Caenorhabditis elegans: one gene and its partner. The protein of the gene in region 1 interacts with the protein of each later gene in a pairwise test. Each region holds a gene or a part of one and is shown on either strand. Other genes may lie near its edges.

What was found.
Region 2: the proteins of mon-2 (region 1) and sgk-1 interact in a two-hybrid assay, tested with the Caenorhabditis elegans proteins (one study listed by BioGRID).

The regions. Positions count from the first base shown.
Region 1 is NC_003282.8:12,091,118-12,103,348, forward strand, and holds the start of mon-2 (Monensin-resistant homolog 2), read left to right. Parts: upstream 1-5,661; 5' UTR 5,662-5,663; coding exon 5,664-5,969; intron 5,970-6,339; coding exon 6,340-6,471; intron 6,472-6,521; coding exon 6,522-6,878; intron 6,879-6,935; coding exon 6,936-7,169; intron 7,170-7,222; coding exon 7,223-7,463; intron 7,464-8,046; coding exon 8,047-8,155; intron 8,156-8,202; coding exon 8,203-9,211; intron 9,212-9,572; coding exon 9,573-9,856; intron 9,857-9,903; coding exon 9,904-10,072; intron 10,073-10,568; coding exon 10,569-11,720; intron 11,721-12,213; coding exon 12,214-12,231. Other genes in the region: Polycomb group RING finger protein 3 homolog mig-32, read right to left, coding at 98-1,096; cpsf-4 (Cleavage and polyadenylation specificity factor subunit 4), read right to left, coding at 1,295-1,441, 1,488-2,126, 2,176-2,298; F11A10.5 (Protein ST7 homolog), read left to right, coding at 3,260-3,365, 3,415-3,529, 3,581-3,657, 3,775-3,945, 3,997-4,236, 4,289-4,386, 4,436-4,647, 4,712-5,303. UniProt on the Caenorhabditis elegans protein: May be required for traffic between late Golgi and early endosomes.
Region 2 is NC_003284.9:16,256,936-16,269,166, reverse strand, and holds the start of sgk-1 (Serine/threonine-protein kinase sgk-1), read left to right. Parts: upstream 1-7,115; coding exon 7,116-7,137; intron 7,138-9,038; coding exon 9,039-9,106; intron 9,107-9,854; coding exon 9,855-9,929; intron 9,930-9,976; coding exon 9,977-10,113; intron 10,114-10,170; coding exon 10,171-10,254; intron 10,255-10,887; coding exon 10,888-11,029; intron 11,030-11,083; coding exon 11,084-11,215; intron 11,216-11,300; coding exon 11,301-11,413; intron 11,414-11,490; coding exon 11,491-11,710; intron 11,711-12,129; coding exon 12,130-12,231. Other genes in the region: Intermediate filament protein ifa-3, read left to right, coding at 1-687, 911-1,072, 1,459-1,575, 1,623-1,673; mua-6 (Intermediate filament protein ifa-2), read left to right, coding at 3,486-3,961, 4,183-4,369, 4,425-5,177, 5,356-5,517, 6,462-6,578, 6,636-6,686. UniProt on the Caenorhabditis elegans protein: Acts downstream of PI3 kinase age-1 and kinase pdk-1 in the daf-2/insulin receptor-like transduction pathway. Essential role in regulating development, stress response, and longevity.

The DNA of each region.
Region 1 (12,231 bases):
AATTCAAAGTAAAAATTTAACCGATCTTTAAAGTTTAATTTATGATCTGGTTTTTTTTTTAAATATTTGGACTTATAAATTAAAACTAAAAACTCACATCACAAATTCCACACGTAATGAATGGATTCAAAACTTCCATATTATATTTCACTGTTGCTCTTCGAAAATTGTTCATCACTTTTGGTACACCATCTTCGGCCAAAAAATTCGCTTTTGGAAAATAAGCCATCATTTCGTCCCTCCTTCGTTGATTAATCGATGATATCGGACCAAAATTCCATTTACTGGCTTCTGCTTTGATTTTTCGTTGCCCATATTTCTGCCGCATCGATTCTTCCTTTTCTTGCTCTTTTCTCCGTTCTCTTCGCTCTTTTTTCTTCCGAAGTTTTGCCAGTTTTTGTTCAATAGTTAGTTTCGGACGATTTTTAGCTTCTTCTATCCTCCTCGCTTTACGTTCAGCTCGTTCACGAAGTTTAATTTCTTCTGCAGTTTCTTCTTCAACTGGCTTCTTTTTTCGTTTAGGAGGTAAATTTCTTCCATTCGTTTTTACTGGTGTAGATTCTTTTTCGATTTTCACTTTTGATACTGAATTTACAACAGCCTTGCGTCCTTTTTTCGAAGAAATATCTGATTTTGTTGTAGACGGAGACACCGAACGCGATGGTGATGGACTTGGTGATGTTGGTGGAGTTTCCGGCGGGCTTTCTTTTTTCTTTTTCTTCTTAGTTTGTAATTTCGCTGTCTTTTTGAACGTAGATGGATCAGGTGAATGTTCTCTGGATGTTATACCATTCTCTACTTCTCCATCTATTTTTTCCTCATTTTCATCGTCATCCATGATTTCTTGTTTAACTTGAAAAGATCCTCGTTTTGTCTTATTAGCTGCTTTTCCGCGATTCGTCGATGAATTTCCCCGCTTCAATTTCTTGGTTTGGGATGTCGATGGGCCATCGTAATCATCTTCAGAATCTGCATCAGATTCCGGTTCAGGTGAACGCTTCTTTTTTGAAGAAGGTGCACCTGTTGTTGATCTTCTCGTTACCCGTGATCGAGAAGATGAAACCGGTTCTGCAAGAGCTGGTCTTTTTCGAGTCATCTGAATAATGTTAGCTTAATATAACTCTATAAAATAAATTTGTAATGTTAATCAGTAAAATTGTGGTTTCAAACCAAGAATATTAAAAAAACAACAAATTAAATAATTGGAAGGTTAAATTTTTATTCCAACAGTCTCGAATTCTTGACAAACAACAAAAATAACAGATTCCACCCGTTCTCCTATATTCGACAATGTTCACATTGGCGGCCTTAGCATATTATTGATCCTTCCTTGTTCTTTTTCATCTTTTTCTCTTTGTTCGTGAGCCAGGTGAGCAGTATTTGACAAGAATGCGAGAGCTCCTTTGTGGCATCTGTTGGCGTAGTGACCTTTCTCTCCGCACTAAAATTGAATTATTTTACTTTTTTTATGATTAAAATGAACCTACCTTGTAACAAGTAACATCTGATAGATTCTTTTTATCTGGTATAAGTGAGAGATCAACACGATGGTGATGATCTTGATTTTGTCTTGTTTGTCCTGGAAGATGTGGACATGTAGTTGCCTTGTGGCCTCTTTCATGACAATTGTGGCAAGTAATAGCTTGACTGTATGTTGGTTTGGCATGACTGACAGCTATATTCTCGAATGATGGCAGACCGAATGAAGGATGAGCATATTGACAATCTGGTCCTTGTAGACAAAATCCGGCGAGATAGTTGGGGCAGACTGCACGACGACGATGGCGATGTTTGCAGTATGGTCCATGCCTGCAGAATCCACGATCGTACCATGGACAGTCTTTCATTTTCGTTTCGGGATCAATATGTCGGAATGGGCATTCTCGATTGCTGCACGCGCTGTATTTAGAGAAGAAGAAGCATTCGGGCATTTTTGTGAGGTCATATTCGTGCAAGAATTCACATTGATCTCCTTTCTTACAAAGACCACGAAGCCAATGCTTACATACGACAGCTTTTTCTCCATCGATGTGACGAAGAGGGCATGTTGGACCGAATGGACACATTTTTAATTTGTTTTTCCTACAAACCGCTTTTCCACTTCGATCCAGATCGCGAAAGGGAGCCTGAAAATTGAATATGTGTTGTAATTTTATACTGGAAGAATAATTGTACCTCTTTCATTCCTCTTTGATTGAACAAAGCTTCTTCCACATCAGTCATAGGAGCGGTAATATTCGAAACAAGATCTGTCATGGTTTGAGGAGCGAATAATCTTTGCATCGGATTTAGCTGCATATCCGGAACATGCTGCGCCACCACAATCATCTGAGAATAAAATAATAATTGATTGACTAAAAAAGTAATGATTAATCAACTTGTTTCTCCGGAGAAACAAAAAAAAACTCCAGAAATAAAAATCAGCCAAGCATCAAAGTTGTCCGAGAGGACTACACGACTACGGTAAGCAACGGTGATTGCACAGATTTCAAATAATTGCGTACAAAGTTTCAATTGTTTTCCAATTATCGACTTTTGTTCGATAAATTCTATTTTTATTTCAAACTCTTTTAATTTAAATTAAAAATTGAATTTGTTTTATCCGATGAAACTGTTTTATTCCTTTCTCGTTTTGCAAAATCCTGAGCTAACGGAATTGAAAATTGACACGATTCTTACGTGCATTTTGATATAGGTTGATTAAAAAACGTTTTTTCTAACTAAAAATGTTTATTCTAGATTTAAAACTTTCAAAAGTAAACTCAAATTAGAAACATATGTTTTAAATAATATATTAGCGACCAAGCGTAAAATAATCTGTAAATTCAAAAAGACTAAGGCTGCGAATATGAAAATTTGCGTTTTATGCGGAAATGTTAAATATTTTAGCTAACGTAAAAGAATACAAATTTGCTCAAGGCCGCGGCCGTAGGGTTTGAATTGAATCGATTTCTCGTCCGTCTTCCATGTCTCGCGGTCTCTCTCTCTGCGTTGTTTTGGCACGTCACCAACAACCACCAACCGGCTGTCGGATAATAAGTTGCATCTTGCCTTAAAAGTAATATTTTTGACTATTATTTCATGCGCGGTACAAGAAATTGAGAACTTTCAAACAAAATTAAAGCCTTTTAATTTTAGCTTCCTACACATCACGAAAATGAGCAAAATGATCCGATCAATTTCATCTCTTATCGATTTTTTTTTCTCTCAAAGCCTTTTTAGTTTTTATATTTCCTAATATTGGAGTGTTTTAGGGGTCATGGCCTGTTCATGGACCTTCCTGTGGCTCCTATGGATCGCACTTGTTGCAGTGCTTCTCTTCGCTTTGCGAGGACCACTCAAGATATCAGAGTCGCTTGAAAGTGGTTAGTCTATAGTTTAAATTAAGACTTTTCTTTTCTATGTCCCGTGCAGTTACAGCGACGTCGTACTTCAACAATCTAACACCAAAGTTCTACGTGGCATTGACAGGAACCTCCAGTTTGGTATCAGGGATAATTCTAATTTTCGAATGGTGGTACTTTAAGAAGTGAGTTGATTTTTCATATTTTCACGTTTTAAGCTTCAATTTTTGTTTCAGCAACGCCGGAATCGATGCAGGAGACGAAGAGGGATCTGATAACGACGAAAGCATCGAAAATACGAAAACCGTCCCAGGTATGGCTCAAAATGTCAATTAACACAAACTCATATCGGAATTTGAAATAATTAATACTTTCCTAATAAATAATTATAATAAAAAAATCTCTATTATTTCAAAACGAAAAATTTCAGAATGCAAAGTCTGGCGGAATCCGATGGCGCTGTTTCGAGCAGCCGAGTACAATCGATTTCGAAAGGAAACAAATTCAGAGCCATTAACATATTATGACATGAATTTATCCGCTCAGGACCATCAGTCATTGTTCATGTGTGATGAAGATCAAGGTAGAGCAGAATATGAAAGTATGGATTGTTTTTTAAATTTAAAAAAAAAGCAAAAGTTTTAAAATTCAGTAATGCAAGTAGCATGGCGAGAGCGAGAAAGCGAAGAGCGAATTCAAACCGCCCGAGCAGCGTTGGCAATCAATCCGGAATGTGCATCGGCACTTGTCCTCTTAGCAGAAGAAGAATCTGAAACCGTGTCTCAAGCTGAAAATCTTCTTCGTCGAGCTCTCCGTGCCATTGAGTCCACTTTGAATTCCTATTCCAACAATCAAATTGCCAGTTATGCGCAAAATGGAGATGCTGTTAGAAGTGAGCTTATCTTGAATTTCTATTTAAAAAATACCAAAAAACTGATATTCAGAGCGTGATTTGACGATTCAAACATACATTAAAAGAAGGTTGGCAATGTGTGCAAGAAAACAAGGACGACTTCGTGAAGCTATCAAAGGCTTTCGAGATGTAAGGAATTCTTTGAAATTTTAATACAAATTCAAAAAAAAAATTTCAGCTGTCGCGAGACCAATCTCTTTCAACGTTGTTATCTGTGCAAGACAATCTCATAGAAGCATGCTTAGAAGTTCAGGCATATGCAGATGTTCAGAATTTGCTTGTAAGATATGATGGATATGGTGCTCCCTGCTCCTATGAACTTCGTGAACCAAGATCAGCCGCGATGAGTTATACATCAGCCTTGTTGAAGGTTCGAGCTGTTGCAGAGAAGTAAGTTTTTGAAATAAGATTTTGAAAGACAAACAAAAATGCCCAATTAACATCTGATTTTCAGTTTCCGCTGCGCTGCAGACTCATCAATTCGTCGTGGACTTTCTTCTGCTGAACAAACTGCAATCGAAGCACTGACTCGTGCAATGGAGTTCAATCCACATGTTCCACCATATCTTCTCGAACTTCGATCAATGATAATGCCACCTGAACACTTTTTGAAACGTGGAGACTCTGAAGCACTGGCCTATGCATTTTTCCATATTCAACATTGGAAACGAATTGATGGTGCTCTTCAACTTCTTAGTATTGTGTGGAAGGATTTTGTTCCAAAAGTCAGCAAAGATAAAAATGCATTTTCTTCACAGTTGGAATCAGCTGACAAAGAGTTGCTACCATCTTGGCACGAACAGTCCGTTTTTCCGAAAACTGAGGGAACTCTCATGATGCTTCTACAAACCTTCATCTGCCTCGCTATCTGTATTCTCGCCGTTCTCGCTCAACAATTTCCAGCATCTTCTGGCGAGATTTTCCGTACTGCTGCAACGATCGGAATGCAATTCTACGAAAATTCTGTGTATACGGTTTCTCAATGGGCGCCAGGAAATATCATTCCGTATTTAGCATCGAAACAGGTGCCTGTTCCAGAGCTCTAATGTGATATTTTTTTCAATCTATCCAATCATTCCAATCTTGTACTCTTCCTTCCAAACTTCGTGTTCCATATCGAATAACACTAAAATTTCCTCTTTAAATTCATAATTAGTCACACACATTCAACTTGCCATAATCTTTTTATTTGAATCCCATGTCATCTCCAAAATGTTTTAATATACTGCTGCTGGTGGCTCTTTTTCACGTTGAAATGATCTCTGCTATCCTTTTTTTAATTGAATGGATAAATAATAAATATTTATTTTTAAGAGCATTGATTTTTTTATTAATTCCACAAGTTGTTCATTTCTTTTCATTACCTTTTTCACAATTATTTTTGAATTAAAAATCATTTTTCAGAAATGTCAATAAATGCGGTAGATTCGAAGAAACTGGTTGAAGCACTTCTAGGCGATCTTCGTCTTTTATCACAAGAAGCAAAAAAGAAGCAGAATCATGTAAAAGAAGCAGCCGAATCGGGTGTTGTTCGGATTCGAAATATCAGTACAGCGTCTGTCGGTGATACGGTTCTGATCACAAATCTCCGAGCTGCTTGCACCGAACTTTTACATCCATTAGTGCTCTCATGTGAAACTAGACACACGAGGCTTGTGCAAATCGCTTTGCAAGGAATTCAGAGACTTGTACAGCATAGGATTCTCAGTCAGGTAGGATTGGATCCGTGATGCGTGGCAATTGGTGACCGGCAGTTCTCCAGAATGAGCCCGTGTGGCTTGTGCTCCCTAGATTTTTCATTGAAATTTAGCTATTTCACCTAGAAAATTACTTGCTTTATTTGAAAATCACTTTTATTTCAGGTGGAAAAACTCGACATTTAATTCAGATTTTTTGCGGCAATTCTCAACTTTCAGACATTTTTTGAATTGTTCCGACTGAAATAAACGTAATTTTCAGATAAAGCAAATATCTTTCTATATGAAATCGCTAAATTCAAATAAAAAAATCATTCTGTAAAACTGTCAGACACCAATTGCCTATACATTTTTGAATTTTAATTTTTTAATGTTTTTTTTTCAGAACGGCGCCACAATTGTAACTAATGAATTATGGTCCCTAGTGGAAGCAGAATGCGAGGAATTGCGAGTTCTTCAAACAGTCCCTCCACTTGTTTCTTCTGAATTAATTGTCACTGGTAACACACTGGCTAAAGTATGAAAAAATATTTTAAACAATTAAATATTCTTATTTTTCATTTTCAGTGTATCGTTATGTGCTTCCGTCTTCATTTTGCCAAAGATCCAATTGTAATAAATGCCGCTTCTGCTGCAGTTCGTCAGCTTGTCTCTACGGTTTTCGAGAGAGTTATTCAAGAAGATGGGATTTTTTCCACGGAACTAACTGTTGTAAATCCATCTGGAGGGCGACCGAGTCCACGTGCAGCTCCACCAACTTTGAGACCTTGTGCTGCTGATGCATACATGTTGTTCAAGGATTTATGCCTTTTGATCAATGGAGAAGCTCCAATTTGGCTAGTTGGAATACAGGAAACAACGCGGACTCTAGGATTGGAATTGCTGGAATCACTTCTTAAAGGATTTCCTTCAGTATTTATTAGAGTAAGTTGAGCAAAAAACGTTATTATACGGAAAAAAACATTAATATTAAATTTTCAGCACACCGAATTCGGTGATTTGCTCAAAGACGATGTGTGTCCATTAATAATTCGGTTGTTCTCTCCAAACGTGAAAGCTATGCACATTTCTTCTCAACATCCATCATCTCGAACCAGCAATGCGTCATTCAACAATTACCCACCAACAATTTCTCATGAACGGCAATCTTTTCCAATTTCAATGCGTCTCGTTCGGATTGTCACTCTTATTGTACAGTTCTATCAGACAATTCTTGTAAGCTACCGTAGTATTACTGAAGTTCTAATCGAAGCTTTCTCAAATTTTAGCACACAGAATGCGAAATTTTCATATCAACACTACTGAAGTTTGTGGATGGAGATAGGAAAGGATGGCAGAGACCTTTAGCCCTAGAATCTTTGCATCGAATTGTTTCGAGTACGGATCTTGTCAAATGGATGACTGAATCTTTTGATTGTCGTCCTAATTCGACGCATGTTCTCGAACAAGTTGCAATTGGATTATCTACTGTTGTTCAGCAGTGTCTTGTCTGTACGACATTTTCCAGTGGTACGTTCGAAATATTTCTCAGATGCAAAAATACGGTAACAGGTCTAAGGATGAAAACCAAGGATGTTGCTATTCCGATTTTCTGAAAAAAAAAACAAACATTTTGGTTTTTCGGCTTCAAAAATCTAAATTTTCGTTTTTTATTTGATTTTCCGACATTCCGAAAAAAAATCGATTTTCTCGGAAAACCGCTCGAAATTCCAAAATATTTTGGCCATATTTTAAAGAAAATTATATACGTTTTCTTCTTGTTTTTTTCAACATAAACAAAGTTTGAAAACATTTTGAACTTTTCAGATAATTCCCGAAACATTTTTTTTTTAAAACTCCGATTTTAAAAATTATCTCTGAAAAACCGAAATATCGGAATTTTTTTGACGACGTTCTTGGTCTCGACACGACAAATTGTAATAATTGGTACAAATTCCACAGAAACCAGAATTTGAAACTACAGTACTCTTTGAAGGCGCACACATGCATGCAACCCAAAATGTTTGTTTTATTTTCCTGTTACCGTAGTTTGTGCGTAAAATTTCGTGTATGGTGTAATATTTATTTATTTACAATCACAGTTTTTTTTCAGACCAAGAAAATGAAATAGATAGAAGCCAAGAAGATGGAGGACCTGGATTCTTGAGCAAAGGATTATGGGTTCCATACGTGGAACATCTGACATCAAAGAAAACAATTTTGTTAGTCGAAAACAAATCATATTCTTCATTAAAAATCTCATTTTCAGACTGGACTCTCTTGATCGTATGGATGCAGTTGCCATTCCAGAAGGTTATGTACTTTCTCGATGCTGTGTAGCTCTTTGTGATATGACTCAAGCTGTTTATGCTGCAATCGATAAACTGTGTCTTGTCGATGAGAATAGTGAAGCTGGAAGTTCAGAAACCAAGCTGGAAATTGCAAAAGTCGCATATGCAAATTCTCAGCCAAGTATTCTAGCTGCAATCGGAAGTCTTCTAGCTGCCAGTACAGATGAAATTGTGAGCGATCAATTACTATGTTGTCTCTCGACTCTTATATCTGCTGGATGTCGAGTTGGAGCTGATGCTGATCTTCATAGAAGTGTCTATGTTCTGGCAATAATGAGCTTACCATCACCATCATACCTGAATCAATTCGCAGGAATCGCACCACCAAGTCCAGCCAATAAACGGGATGCTCCAGTTTCGGAGCAAGTATTTGATTTGGAAGCATGGCCATCGACGACCCAAGTTACAGCATCAGGGCCTCCATGTCCATGCCCTGTAGTTTCAACAGAATTATGGAATAAGCAAGTATTGCTCACTTCGAAAAATTTGCAAGCTGCTCGAACTTTTATCGCCTCAATCACTACACACATCAAGGAACTCAACAATCTGTGGTATCTGTGTATGGCAACTTGTGAGCATCTTTCTTGGCTTCTTGCAATGCGGCCGACACAAGTTGGACAATTTGAACGAGAAACAAGAGATGATCATTCGAATGTACCAACTGTGGTGACAAATGCAGCACTTTCTGACATAGCAATGCTATCATCATTAATGGATAAAGTAGCACCTGCAATCGCTGCACTACCAGACAAATCGTTTCTTTCTGTGATAGATGCCCTTATTCGTCTTTCTGATGAAAGTCTCGCTGTTGCAGCTACTGGAAGAGAAAGTTCTCTGTTTCCTCTTGCAGTTCTCTATAAAGTTTGCTCACTTTCATTGATGAGACTTCAAGTATTTTGGCAAAAAGCTGCTAATCATTTTATCAAGGTTTGTTGGAATCAGGGGTGCGGCCAGCAAAATGAACCAGTTCTTCTAATAGTTTTCATTGTAATTTAGTAATATTTAAAATGTAAAAAAATTGTGCTTTGTCTGAAAATTTTTTTAAAGTTGAAACAATTAAAATGTTGCTCAAAAATTGTATGAAAGTTTAAACATGCCGAAATTTTTCCGGCAATTGTCATGACAGTTTTTGAGTAAATTTTTAAATTTTTTCAGATATCATGTCTTTATCATTAAATTTTAAACATTAAAAAAATATATTGTGAAGCCACACTGGATCATTTTGTAGAACTGCTAGACTTGCCTGTTTGGAAATAAATTTTACTGAACTTCAATGATCTAATTTCAGGTGTGCAATCATACTTCTGTATCAATGCGTGATTGGGCAGCAGTTGCACTGACTTCACTAGCAAAACATGCTGTAAAATCGAAAACTTCAATGGATGCAAAAAGTCAACAGGAAATGATAATTTCATCGCTTCTAGCTCTCTGTTCAATTCCTCATATTCAAGTTCGTCGGAGACAACTCGATTGTGTAATGTCACTAATGCAAACTGATGGTGCTTTCTTACTTTCGACGTCATGGCCCAATGTTATACAAATTATCTCAGCCATCATTGATAGTGATACTGAGTGAGTTTTTCTTTTGAAGTTTTTAATTATACATTTTATATTTTAAGGTGTGAGCTGTCTCTGGTACGACAAGGATATCTTGGTCTTCGTCTCGTGTCATCTGATTTTCTACAATCAATTCCTTTTGATTGTATTTCGGGGCTTGTCGAAGCGATTTCACGATATTCCAAGCAGAACACGGACCAAAACATTTCCTTGTCTGCGTTAACATTGCTGGTGAGTTAAAATTATATTATTTTTTGTTCTTAAAAAATTATCATAATATATACCGTATCGTAATTTCCAATTTTTATAACGCGTGCTTAAAGACGCAAAGATTCGATTAAATGGTTCTCGCCACGAGCAGAAACAGCGAAAACTACACTGACTCTCTAACTGGCTACTGTAGAGCTGAAGCCGATTTACAGAAATCAGTTATTATAATTCGATTAAAATATTAAAATAAAACACATTAATGACGAAAAAACTAAAGAAAATGGAAAAAATCGAGTAAATCGACAACAGCTTTCGCTACGAGATACTTTGTGCGTCAAATATGTTGCGCAATATGCATTCTTCGAATTTTGTGATCCCATAATAGTCCTGAATTAATAGAATAACGGTACCAAACAATATCGTGGCGAGACCCATTCCAACAAATCCACGCGTCTTTCAGACGACACCGCAATAACTTTTTTTCAAGTTTTACGATAATTAATCCTAATATTTTCAGTGGACGATTTCCGACTTCATTTACCGAAAAATGGAATCCGTTGGAAACGATGCTTCCGAAGCTGTGTGGATGGTACTGTACACGTGCCTCTCCGAATCATGTGTAGACTCTCGCTTTGCTGTACGAAAATCAGCGTGTCAAACTCTTCTACAAACAGTCACAGCACATGGACATGCACTTCGATCTGCTGCATGGCATAGTGTTATATGGCAGATAATGATTCCATTACTTGACAAAGTTCGATCACAGACAAGATGTGCATCTACGGAAAAATCAAATGGAGAACTGATAATGCATCATTCGAGAGATACAGAACAGAAGCAATGGACGGAAACATGCATTCATACCATTTCTGCTATATCCAAAATTTTCAATTCTCAACGAAAATCTTTGCTCGCGTTGAATGACTTTGGTGCTGTTTGGGAAGCATTTCTAGGATATTTGGATTGGGCTGCGTGCTACGAAAATGCCGAACTATCACTATCAGCAATTCGAAGTTATCAGGAAGTTTTACTCGGAAAAATCTCATCACAGACGTTGAATGTAAATAGTCATGAAAAAAGCAATGGATCTGATTCTACTATTGATGCAATTACACCCGAGTTACCACAAGCCCAATGGGTTGAATCTTGGAAAGTTTGGCTGAGAATTTCAAGAGGATTGGCTAGACAAGGATGTGCTGCAATGGCAAATTCAGTGAATGCTGATTCGAAATCAATTTCTTCAACTCCAAGAATGAATTCATCATCGTCTTCGTTAGCATCGCTTGCTCCAGGAATCTATGTTCCCGGACCTTCTCATCTCACAGCGATTCTTCATGTGTTCCCTCCATTATTCGACAAAGTTGCCAAAAGTATTACTGTAGACGATTTAAAATATGAAAGTCTGCCAGCAGTACTGGAAAGTATGATGAATGTACCCATTCCATCAGAACAAGCACCATTTGTACTTCCATCAGCTACTACACATCTGACACCGACACAGGAAGCTCTTTTGGAAGCTGTTAAAATTGTATTTGTTGAATGTACACTATCAGGAACATCTCTGCGAGCCGCTATTCCGGATCAAATACGACTTTTGCTGAAATTTGCAAGTATGGCAACACAACGAATTTCTCCGAATAAAGTTGCGCCTGGTGGACAGAAGAGCTATGTAAGTGTTTTTTATTGAAGGAATATTGCTCGTATGGACTCAAAATGTGCACGAATTTCGAAAAAGGTGCTGATCAAAAACAATTATGACAGGTCAAAATTTCAAAAAAAAAACGAAATTTCGCAAAAATCGTACATATTTTATTAGTTGATCTCGCGTTAATTTACATGCTTGTCAAAAAATTTCAATTTTAGACAAATCGATAGACGGAATATTTTTGTTTTTTCGCTGGGAAAATCGAAAAATCGAAAAAAAAATCTTTATTAAGTAACCACAGTTGGTACCAAAAACATTCAATTTTTATCGTATTACGGTTATGCGAAAGAAAAAAAATAAGAAAAATATAAATTTCTTTGAAAAATAAGATTTTAGCAGAATTTGGCTTTTTTCGAAATTTTGAGAAATATTATTTTTAAATTCGCCCTTCTGAGACCATGTTGGGTATAACAAAGCAAAGAATTATTTAATTTGAATAAATAATTTAAATTTTCAGAGAGACTACGCCCTGACT
Region 2 (12,231 bases), on another chromosome or scaffold:
ATCGACTTTATGAAGAGAGGATTTGAGACTGAGCTCAAGGATCTTCAGGCTCAGGCTGCTCGCGATACTACTAGTGAGAATCGGGAATATTTCAAAAATGAGCTTATGAATTCTATTCGTGACATTCGTGCCGAATATGACAGATTCATGGCTGGAAATCGTAACGATTTGGAATCCTGGAGTCAAATAAGAGTTCAAGAGATCAATACTCAGACCAATCGACAAAACGCTGAAATTAATCACAAGAGGGATGAGGTCAAGAGACTGCACAGTCAAGTTTCAGAGCTAAAAAGTAAACATGCCGAACTGGCAGCAAGAAATGGTCTTCTTGAGAAGCAACTTGAAGATCTCAACTATCAGCTCGAAGATGACCAAAGATCCTATGAAGCCGCTCTCAATGACAAGGATGCTCAAGTTCGGAAGCTCCGTGAGGAATGCCAAGCTCTCCTGGTCGAGCTCCAGATGCTTCTTGACACCAAACAAACTCTTGATGGAGAGCTCAAAGTTTATAGACGAATGTTGGAAGGTAACTCGGAAGAGAACGGACTTCGCCAACTTGTGGAAAAGGTTGTCAGAACATCTGCTATCAATGAAGAGGTTGACACCGAAACGATGCGCGTAGTCAAAGGAGAACACTCCAGCAGAACATCTTATCAACGTTCCGCAAAGGGAAATGTATCCATCAAGGTTAGAAAAATTTTTATAATTGTTAACACTATATCCAAAACAGAAAAAGTACTCATTGGATGGAAAATAATTCATTATCTGCAAAATTCATTTTGTTTAAATCGAAAGTTACAGGATGTTTCTGATTTCGAAGTTGAAATCGTATCTCAAAATTAAGATTGAACAAAATTTAAAATTTGATATTTTCTTCTAATTGCATTAATTAATCATTATTTATTTTCAGGAAGTCTCCCCAGAAGGCAAATTTGTCATCTTGGAAAACACGCACAGAGACAAAGAAGAGCCACTCGGAGATTGGAAGCTGAAAAGAAAGATTGACGGAAAACGCGAGATCGTCTTTACTTTCCCATCCGACTATATCCTCCACCCGGTTCAAACTGTCAAGGTTTGTGAAATTTTATTGAGAATTCAAAATTATATCTAACAATTTGGAAATGTTGGATATAAAACATTTCAAATTGGTGTCTCAGAGTGAAATGTGTTACTGTCATTTCTGTGTGTCGAATTGATAATCTGATGCGCACTGGGGTGTGACAAGGTCATCTGAAAATGATGAGTGGACTTTTTCCTGGCTATGTAGCAAAAGATAGAAGACTGGGAAGCATCTAGTTATGTTTTCTGAAACTGATATAATCTAATTTTTCAACAGAGAAAAACATCAAAAACAATTAAGAACCAGAAAAAAGTGATGTTTCAAAAAATTTTAGCGACAAAAAAATTAAAGTTTTTCAGGCTGCATGCCAAACTGTCAAAAAAACGGTCTATTTCCAGATTTTCGCCCGCGGGAACGGTGTTGCCAATCCTCCAGAAGTTCTAGTTTTCGAAGGTGACGACACATTTGGTGCTGGTGCCAATGTTCAAACAATCCTCTACAACAACAGTGGAGAGGTAACTCAAGCCAAAATTTCAAAAGTATTTAGAATCTTTTTTTGCAGGAACGCGCAACACACATGCAACGCCAAAGCCAACAGACTACAACTTCATAAATCTAACCTTGCTCGGATAACAATACGAGAAATTTCCCCATCTTAGTTAATTTTTTCTTCTTATTTTCAAGCCGAAATTGTACGGAACCGTAATTTTTTATTTATTTCATGCAGTATTTTGCCATGACTCAATTCAAATTTTCATCCATTCTTTGTCTTTCAGTTTATATTTTTTGATCTAACATTGAGCGCCATTTCATTATGACCTAAACTACTTCTTACTAATTTTTTATTCACTGATTTTCGACATCTAAATTTATATGTTTTAATATATTCTAATAAACAACAGTTAGTTGATTCAGTTGTAAAGGTGGAATAGCGCCAGTGGGGAATGTGTCAAAAACCACTCCTATGGTCTCAAAATAACCAAATACCATGATAAAACATTTCAAAAAAATTGGAAAACTTTTTATTTACTGTCAAAAAGTGACAATTGCTCAGTTTCTGCCACTCATAATTTTGGAAGTCGACCAAAAAAAATTTTTTTTTCTACATATTTTATAATGCAATTTTATTTAAATTATTCGTATTAAAACATTGTAGGGGTCGAAACATGCGACATTGCTTTGGGTTTCCTTAAAAGACTCATATTTTCAAAATTTTGGCAATTCTCCTCGTGGTTTTGGCCTATTATAAGTGTATTTAGGCAAAATCTCCATTTGCGCTACTTCACCTTAAAGTTTATTACAGTTATAGCTTGTGCTTATTGCCTACCTAGGAACAGTAGAAAATTAAAATTTTCTTTGTTTCTTCTCAAATTTTTTTCACTTTACGGAGAAAGAAGTAGTTAAATCATTTAAGGGAGCTGATTTCAAATTCTATTTATATTCCTTTTTTAATTAACGAAAACTAGAGCACAAATATTAAATAAGACTATTGGCTTTTAATTGTTTTGATTATTCAAAAATAACAACAAAAAAAACCAAAATTCATGTTGCAGCTAGATCGGTGTAAAAAAACTGTAGTTCTTTGACTAATTACTTTTTGAAACTAGTTTCTTCATTTTGAAACTAAGAACAAACATTTAAGAAAGTTTCCTTTGAAGTTTGCCGAAGTTCAATCACTAAAAATCTTTTTTGCTGTCTCTTCACATTTATCTAATCATTTTAATTCGAGGCAAGTGGGTGAATTCTGACATATCTATCACTTAATCTATCAATTAGTCACCTCGAATCGAATATTTGAATAGAATATGTAACAGTTAAACTTCACAATCTCTCAAGACGAATAATCATTAATCAAAACCACACCCAATCGTGTTTTAACTGACTCCTGACTCATCTGGACGACACCCTTTTCTGGTAGTAGAACAATAATTCACTTACGGGAACATGTCCATCTTCGTCACTTTTGCAATCACCAATGGAGGCGGGGATTGCGAATGGATAAGTGGTCAGGAAAGAGAGAGAGAAAAAAAACGATAAATTGGAGAAAACCGCTCCCTTCCATCATCTTCACTGCGCCGCCCATCTCCAGCCCCTCCCGATCCGCCACCTTCTTCGTGTACAAGAAATGTTGATGGGTTGGGAAGGAAGAGGTGAGGCAGTTTTTATGTCGCCCTCCACCTCCCCTCCCAGTTTTCAATTTCTCGATTTACTTATGTAGGTGTGGTTAGTTATATTCTCAAGAGGGTGTGTCTCGGGTTTTGTCATTTTTCTCACATTGTCCCTGAATTGCTATATTTTTTTGTTTCTAAGTTTTCATAAAACAATTCAAATTAGACAATCTGATTGTTTCAACTTCTCTCTATTTTCTTGCTCCCCAATATATTATAACATAGATTTTTCTAACAATTTAAAATTTTCAGACATAATGACCGATCCAGATTCCTACCGCAGCTCCATCACCTCTCGCCCATCATTCAACCGCACTGTTACCAGCAGTAGTCAAAACTATGGAGCACCAGGATCAGGGAATCGTGTGCTGAAGATTGTCACCGAAACTCACTCTTCCTCAGTTTCAAGTGGACTCTCCCCATACGGACAGAATGCTGCGTCCACCATCCGAGACAACCGTGAGCGTGAAAAGAAAGAAATCATGGAGCTCAATGATCGTTTGGCTAGCTACATTGAGAAGGTCAGATTCCTTGATGCTCAGAACAGAAAGTTGGATGCCGATCTGAAGATGCTCCAAGGAAGATTTGGAAAAAGTACCGGATCTGTGAAAGTTATGTATGAGATGGAGATCACCACTGCCACCAATGTTGTCAAGCAGACAGGAAAGGATCACGGAGAGACTGAAAAGGAGATTCGTAAGCTTCAGGATCAACTCGACGAGTTGCGAAAGAAGTGAGTTTAATTGAGATGAGAAACCATAGTAAATATGAAAACCGTAATGATTCGTTTATATTGATAATCTGCTAAATCTGGATCCTATTCTGGAGAGTTTGAGCAATTCTAGCCATTGCTCCAGTATCACTCCGTTAAGAAGTTGAAACTTTGTATATCCTATACCATTAATACCGGTCCCGTTTATATCTAACAAAATTCACATTGAATATTATTTTCAGGTTTGAAGAGGCCCAAAGAGGGCGTGCTGAAGATCGTTTGAAGATTGATGATCTTTTGGTTACCCTTTCCAACCTCGAAGCCGAGATCAACCTTCTCAAGAGACGCATCGCCCTCCTTGAGGAAGAAGTTGCTCGCCTGAAAAAGGAAAACTTCCGGCTCACATCTGAACTCCAACGTGTTCGCATTGTGAGTGACTAAATCATGAAGTATTCGGAAAAAAAGATACAATTTTTAATTTCAGGAGCTCGACCAGGAAACCCTTCTTCGTATCGACAACCAAAACAAGGTGAAGACTATTCTGGAGGAGATTGACTTCATGAAGAGAGGATTTGAGACTGAGCTCAAGGAGCTTCAGGCTCAAGCTGCTCGTGACACCACTAGTGAAAACCGCGAGTACTTCAAGAATGAACTCGCTAATGCTATGCGTGACATTCGTGCCGAGTATGACCAGATCATGAATGGAAACCGTAATGACATGGAATCCTGGTACCAGTTGAGAGTTCAAGAGATCAATACTCAATCCAACCGCCAAAACGCGGAGAACAACTATCAGAAAGAGGAGGTGAAGAGACTCCGCAATCAAACTTCCGAGCTCCGCCAAAAGCTTTCTGATTTGGAATCAAGGAATCTTCTTCTTGAGAAACAAATCGAAGATCTCAACTACCAGCTCGAGGATGACCAAAGATCCTACGAAGCTGCCCTCAATGACAAGGATGCACAAATCCGCAAGCTCCGTGAAGAATGCCAAGCTCTCATGGTCGAGCTCCAGATGCTCCTTGACACTAAACAAACCCTTGATGGGGAGCTCAAGGTTTACAGACAAATGTTGGAAGGTAATTCTGAAGGAAATGGGCTTCGGCAACTTGTCGAGAAGGTCGTCCGCACATCTGCAATCAATGAAGAGGCTGACACCGAAACGATGCGCGTAGTCAAAGGAGAACACTCCAGCAGAACATCTTATCAACGTTCAGCTAAAGGAAATGTGGCGATCAAGGTGAGGGATTTATTTTCAAGTTTTTTGAAAATTGCTTTTTCGCTAAAATAAAGCTTTGACGTTCAAAAATTTAAAACTTCCAATGGCCATTGACTGTAGTCACTAATAATATCATTCCGACATAAAAATAATCAATTTATCACTTAGTACATACTCAATAATGATAATTTCTTTTCAGGAAACCTCCCCAGAAGGCAAATTTGTCATTTTGGAAAACACACACAGAGCCAAAGAAGAGCCACTCGGAGACTGGAAGCTTAAGAGAAAGATCGACGGAAAACGCGAGATCGTCTTCACCTTCCCATCCGACTACATCCTCCACCCATTCCAATCTGTCAAGGTTTGCGAATTTCTACTTCTTTCAGAAACAAGCCTAGCTACCCAGGACCTGTCGCGTATAAAACATTTCAAATTGGTGTCTCAGAATGAAATGTGTTGTTGTCTCTGTGTGTGTGTGTCGAATTGATAATCTAATGCGCGATTGCGTTTGGGTGTGGCAAGGTCATCCGTCCGTAATGACTAAAGGGGGGGTAACTTTGCTTCGAAAAAGAAAGATTGGGGATGTATGTAGGAGAAAAAGAAGGAATAAAAAGTGATAAACAAATTGATGGAAACTGTGAAGACAAACGTTGTTCACAGAAATCAATAAAAGGGACAGATGAGATGTGAGATTATTTAGGTCAGCTTTGAAAAAAAATGTTTTCAAATAAGGTTTGAATAAGAAATGAATTTGAAAGAAGCAATTATTTATTTAAAAGGTGGAGTAGCGCCAGTGGGGATTTTGTCTAAATGCACTTATAATGATCCAAAACAACCGAATATCATAATAAAACACTCCAAAATTTTTTTTAGATTTTTCATAATTTCCGGTCAAAGTTTTGGCAAATTCCCAAAAAATTTTAAAATACTAGCTTTTGAGGAAATTCAAAGAAATGTCGCATGTTTCGACCCCTACAATGTTTTAATACAAACAAAATTAAAACATAAAAAATGTCGAAAAAAAATTTTTTTTTTGATCGACTTCCAAAATTATGAGTGGCAAAAACTGAGTAATTGCCACTTTTTGACAGTAAATAAAAAATTTAAAAATTTTTTTTGAAAAGTTTTATCAAGATGTTTGGTCATTTTTGGACCAAAGGAGTGGTTTTTAACAATTTCCCGACTGGCGCTACTCCACCTTCAATCAATTTCATACAAAACATTTTTCATAAAAAAAAAAGAAATTCAAGTGAGGTGTTTTAACATTAAAAAAACCACTGTAAAGACAAATTTCTACATTTCCAGATCTTCGCCCGCGGACAAGGAATCGCCAATCCTCCAGAAGTGCTCATTTTCGAAGGTGACGAAACATTCGGTGTTGGCGCCAACGTTCAAACAATCCTTTACAACAATAAGGGAGAGGTAATTCAACCCCCAAAAATTTACGTGCAGAATAAAATGTTATTTTTTTCTTTGCAGGAGCGCGCGACACACATCCAACGTCAAAGCCAACAAACGACATCTTCCTAAATCTAGCTTTTTGCTTGAGCTATTTACTGTTTTCTTCTCTTTGTACCAGAAATCTGAACCCCAACTCTTTGCTGCCTGCCTGTTTGCATTTTTTCCGTTTGCTATATACTTTTTCACTTTTTTGTTTCTTTTTCCTCCGGTAACTTACTCATTTTCAACAATAAATACTTTATACAGATCAAAAAATTGCCATATGGAATGTTCATTTTTCATTTGAAACATTGATAGGAAAAGTAAGGTGGGGAAATATTAAAGGTGATAACGTGATCAAGAGCAAATAAGAAAGTCAGACGAATGGCTCGGTGAGCCGTGATAAGAAGACAAGGTCCAACCCAGCGATTCTAATCAGTTAACACGAGACAAGATACATCGAAAACCCACATTCGACCTGGTGGCGGTTATTCTAAATACGAGAGCATTACTGTGACAATGGGCAGCATGTATTATAATGGTGAGTCAAAGATTAAACCTGGCTGGTTCTGTGAAATGTTTGTATTTGTTTTAAGAAATTCAAAATCTGAAATGTCTTAAAAGTCTCAATTTTTTTAAATGGCTGATAAAATTTTGAAAACCTAGCTCTTCCAGATAAAACCTAGATTTCTGCCAACATGTCACAGTTGCGGCGGTCTGAAAACATTAGTTGATGGGTGCAAAAAATACTTCTTACTCCTGAAAACAACTTAATCAACGAAAAAAGTCATAACAATAAATATATTCATTAAAAATACATAGAAAAACAGAACATTCAATAAAATTTAATAAAAATCAATTTTGGGTAACTATGACAAACATAGGTTGACAAGTTAAAAATGTAGTTTTTTGTATTTTTTATTTTTTTCAGAAATAAAAATAAATTAAATTCGATATTTTGGGGTCATTTTGACCCAATTAAAAAATTAATCCAAATTTCGCTACTACACCTGTGAGAAGTTATCATAAATTTTTTTTAAAATGTGCTTTAAATGTGGAGTAGCGCCAGTGGGGGAAATTGTCAAAAACCACGCCTATGGTCTCAAATTAATGGAATATCAAAATAAAACTATTCAAAAAATTTTTGAAATTTTTTTTTTACTCTCAAAAAGTGACAATTATTTAGTTTTTACTCAAAATTTTGGAAGTCGTCCGAAAAAAAAAAGTTTTTCTACATTGTTTATACTGTGACTGTGTTTTAATTATTCACATTTAAACATTGTAGGGGTCTAAACATGCGGCCATGCTTCGGATTTCCTCACAAGCTCATATTTTTCGAAATTTGGCCATTTGCCAAAACTTTGACCGGAAATTATGAAAAGTCTAAAATTTTTGCAGTTTTTTATTATGATATTCTGTCGTTTTGGATCATAATAAGAGCATTTAGACAAAATCCCCATTGGCGCTACTTCACCTTTAAAATGCAGATAGATCATTAACTCAAACATAAACTTACTAGTTTTGAATTTTCATTATGAATTTAGATGTTTTTTAACAAACCTATAAATGCTCACAGGAAAATACAATGCATTAGGTTTTCCAAGAAATTATAATATAATGAACTCTTTCTGAAACATACTTCAGTCTTCATGATTTCAAAATCAAATTTTCCAATTCTGACATAAAATAATCCACTGGTCAAACGTAATGATTTGATAACGCATTTCTGTTTGACAGCTTAATTTTCATTTGAACTTTCATTTTCTGAAATCAAAACTGAATACGTTTTTTCAATTTATTACGTTTTACTTGTGTAGTATTAGAACTACAAAAAAGGTTTGCAATGGATTAAAATAATTATTTTTTATCATTGTGCCTATTTTGAGAGTTTCAAATAATTATTTTTATGCTTGAAAAAATAAAAAAATAGACATTTTCATTCATCTAATTTTTGAAATTAATTTATAAATTATTAATGGTTTAAATTTTTTCTTTAACGTATCTATATCATCTTGAAATATACCTCTTAACAATCTATTTACTTTGCATGCTTCTTTTTATGATTTCTATGATTCTTTCAAAATGCAAATAATGACGTCACTTTCTGCATCAACCGGAAGAAATTATGATGATGATATTTTTTTTTCCTTCTCTAGAAGTTTTTTACCCTTTCATTACCTCTAATGGAGTTGAGAAACCAGAGCCATACTACCTTTTCCAATTTTCTTTTCAACATAAGTTTCATGTCAAAAAGTGCTTATGCAGTATTGATAAGTGTAGTGAAACTCTCTCAAAGGACTGATAAGGCCGAAGAAAAAGTCATGATCTGCTTCCCGGAAATAGCAATCGATTTTTATTGACGAGTTTTAGTTATGCTCATTAATTTATTTTTTTATTGATATCGATAAATGTTTTAATATAATTTAATTTTGAATATTTCAGAGTCGAGAATGGTGAGGAAAGATGAGGTGACATGCAATGTTATTATAGGAGATGATAAGAAAACTGTGGTAAGTTAGAGAGCATTAAGATTAATTTAAAGAGTTTTAAAAATAAATATTATCTCATTTTTTGTCCGTAAAGTATAATGTGATGCAGGGATAGGCGGAAAAAAATTTTGTCGACAAATTCGGCAAATCGTCAAATTGCCGGTTTTCCCGATTTGCCGGAGATTTTCAATTCCGACAATTTACCGGTTTGCCGAGTTGCCGGAAATTTTCTTTTTTGGCAAATTGTCGGTTTTCCGTCTGCCGGATATCAAGTTTGCCGGAAATGTCTAGAGGGATTTTTATAAGACGGAAACACATGAAAATTGGCCCTTTTTGAAACTTTTTCCCGTTTTCTTTAGCTATTTACATAGAAGTTGTTCAATTTTCAAAATATATGTTGGAACATGCGTACAATTTTTCCGATTAAAATTGAAATTCTGAAATTTTTTAAAAATGTGCAAAACCACAATTTGCCAAACATTTTTGGCAATTGTCGTTTTTCCGGCAAGTTCGGCAAATCGGCAATTTGCACGTTTTCAATTCCGGCAACTTGCAATTTATAGATTTACCGTGTTCACTTTTGAGATTTGTGTGTTCCACAAGAAATATTTTAAAGTTTACACGTTCAGTTTCAATTATAAAACATTTTTCCTGAAGACTACACGGCGAGTAACTATAATAGAAAATTACAAATTTGTCACACATGCCCAAATCAGAAATATTTTTTTAAATACACTTGACGAGTTTTCAAATAAAATTATATTTTCAGGTTTACGCGCTCCGTATCGGAAATGGCCCAATTATGCAAAAAACGTTTGAAGAATATGAAAGATTTTTTACAACTGTCAGTTTTTTCAAGTTTTTATTTTCCAACTTTTTATTGACTTTCAGGAAAAGGATATGATCCCGGCTACAATTTTCACTGCGCCGAAAAAGAAGTTCCTGCAAGCTGACAGCAAGTTCTACGAGAAAAGACGTGTTTGGATCCTTGTGATTAGTCAGCATCTTGTTGATAATAATTTAAGAAGGTAATGAGATTAATTTATGTTGGATAGTTTATAATTCTTTGATTACAATGATTACAGTGAGGATGTCCGTCGGTTCTTCCATCTCGAAAGTCCGGATGATGATGAGAATAATGTTGATCTCGGACCAAGTGAGAGGAAAACGTATGTTTTGGCCATAAGGATTTGCGGTAAATCGCCAAAGTTGCACATATTGAAGTAGAGCTCCCAGCTGAGTGATGCGCAAAATGCGGACCTCACCCCGACGCCACCGTGTGTTTGCAATGAAGTTCGAAATGTAGTTATTTGGAGCGTCCGACATGTTCGGGGTTCCGCAGCTTGGTCGTGAAATAAGTAGCTTGGTGTGTGCGCAACGTAGTGTGAAGAGATGGTTGTTTGGAAGCGGCCGACACGTTCGGGGTTCCGCGCAACATTATACATTCGCATACATCCGTCTTGCGCGACGACCTCATGGGAGACCTATATTAAATACTTTTGATTTTTTTCCCCGAACGTTTGCAATGAGCTTCTAATTTTGTTTCATCTGCTCTTAAAATAGCTACGTTACCAAGTTTTTGAAATTTTTCCAATCTTTGAAACAAGACATCCATTTTTGATTCGTTCCAAAATAGGAAGTGTTGCTTATTTTCCGAAAATTTTGGCTTTCCCATCTCATGTTGACCTATTTTTGTCGACTCAAAATTTTTCGACCAACAGTATAATTTTTATGGAAATTTTAGAAACCAGAGTTTCATATATACGTTGCAAGACTTTTTGCCTCTAGCAGTTTATTTTCAGAGCCACCGCCAATGATTTCGATTATCTGACAACTATCGGAAAAGGAAGCTTTGGAAGAGTTTACCAAGTCAGGCACAAGGAGACCAAAAAAATCTACGCCATGAAAATTCTGTCCAAGGAACATATCAGAAAAAAGAACGAGGTATTGATTAGTGTTACAAGTTTTTGGAACATAAGTAGCAAATACGTTTTTAAGGTGAAACACGTCATGGCAGAAAGAAATGTGCTCATTAACAACTTTAAGCACCCTTTCCTTGTTTCACTTCACTTTTCGTTCCAAAATAAGGAGAAGCTGTATTTTGTGCTCGATCACTTGAACGGAGGAGAGGTACCTATTCCATGTGTTTAGATTAATATAGGGAAGAATGGACTCGATAGAAAACTTATAAAACTTTCAAAATGTGGCATTTCAGCTTTTCTCTCACCTCCAACGCGAGAAACATTTTTCCGAGTCGAGAAGTCGTTTTTACGCGGCCGAGATTGCATGTGCTCTGGGTTATCTTCACGAGAAAAACATTATCTACAGGTAGCGATTTACTTGCTTTCAAAAAAAGAAACCTCTAAATTGGTTTGGCAATATGCAAATATAAATTTACATTCCAGAGATTTGAAGCCTGAAAACCTTCTGTTGGACGATAAAGGTTACTTGGTGCTCACCGACTTTGGGCTCTGTAAAGAAGATATGCAAGGAAGCAAGACAACTTCCACATTTTGTGGGACGCCGGAGTACTTGGCCCCGGAAATTATTCTGAAAAAGCCTTACGACAAGACTGTTGACTGGTGGTGTTTGGGATCGGTTCTCTATGAAATGATTTTTGGATTGGTAAGGATTGCCGAGTTGGCATAAACTTGAAATACACAATCTGAAATATTATAGCTGGTTTATTAAAAAATATGATGACTAGTTTTATAATTAGTAGTTACAACTGCAATTTTCTTCCGCTTTTCGTAGAGCTTAGCGCAATAGAACTCTGCCGACTTTTGTTCCAATGACCTTCTCTAAAAGTTTTACATAACCTATTTACCATATTTTTTCTATTAGTACAGCCCTGATGTGTAATTCAGACTAGAAACTTAAAATTGCTTCTTCTTTTGCTTCTTCTTTTTGTTCTGTGATTTTCCCAAAACCACAGAACACAAAATATTACATAGTTCAAGCTAAAATTGCTGATTTGATTTATTTCCCTGACATAACTTTCTTAATCTGCTCCCCCCCCCCCCAAAAAAGAGCAATCATTTCAGCCTCCATTCTACTCAAAAGATCATAACGAGATGTACGACAAGATCATCAACCAGCCACTTCGTCTCAAGCACAACATCTCTGTGCCATGCAGTGAGCTCATC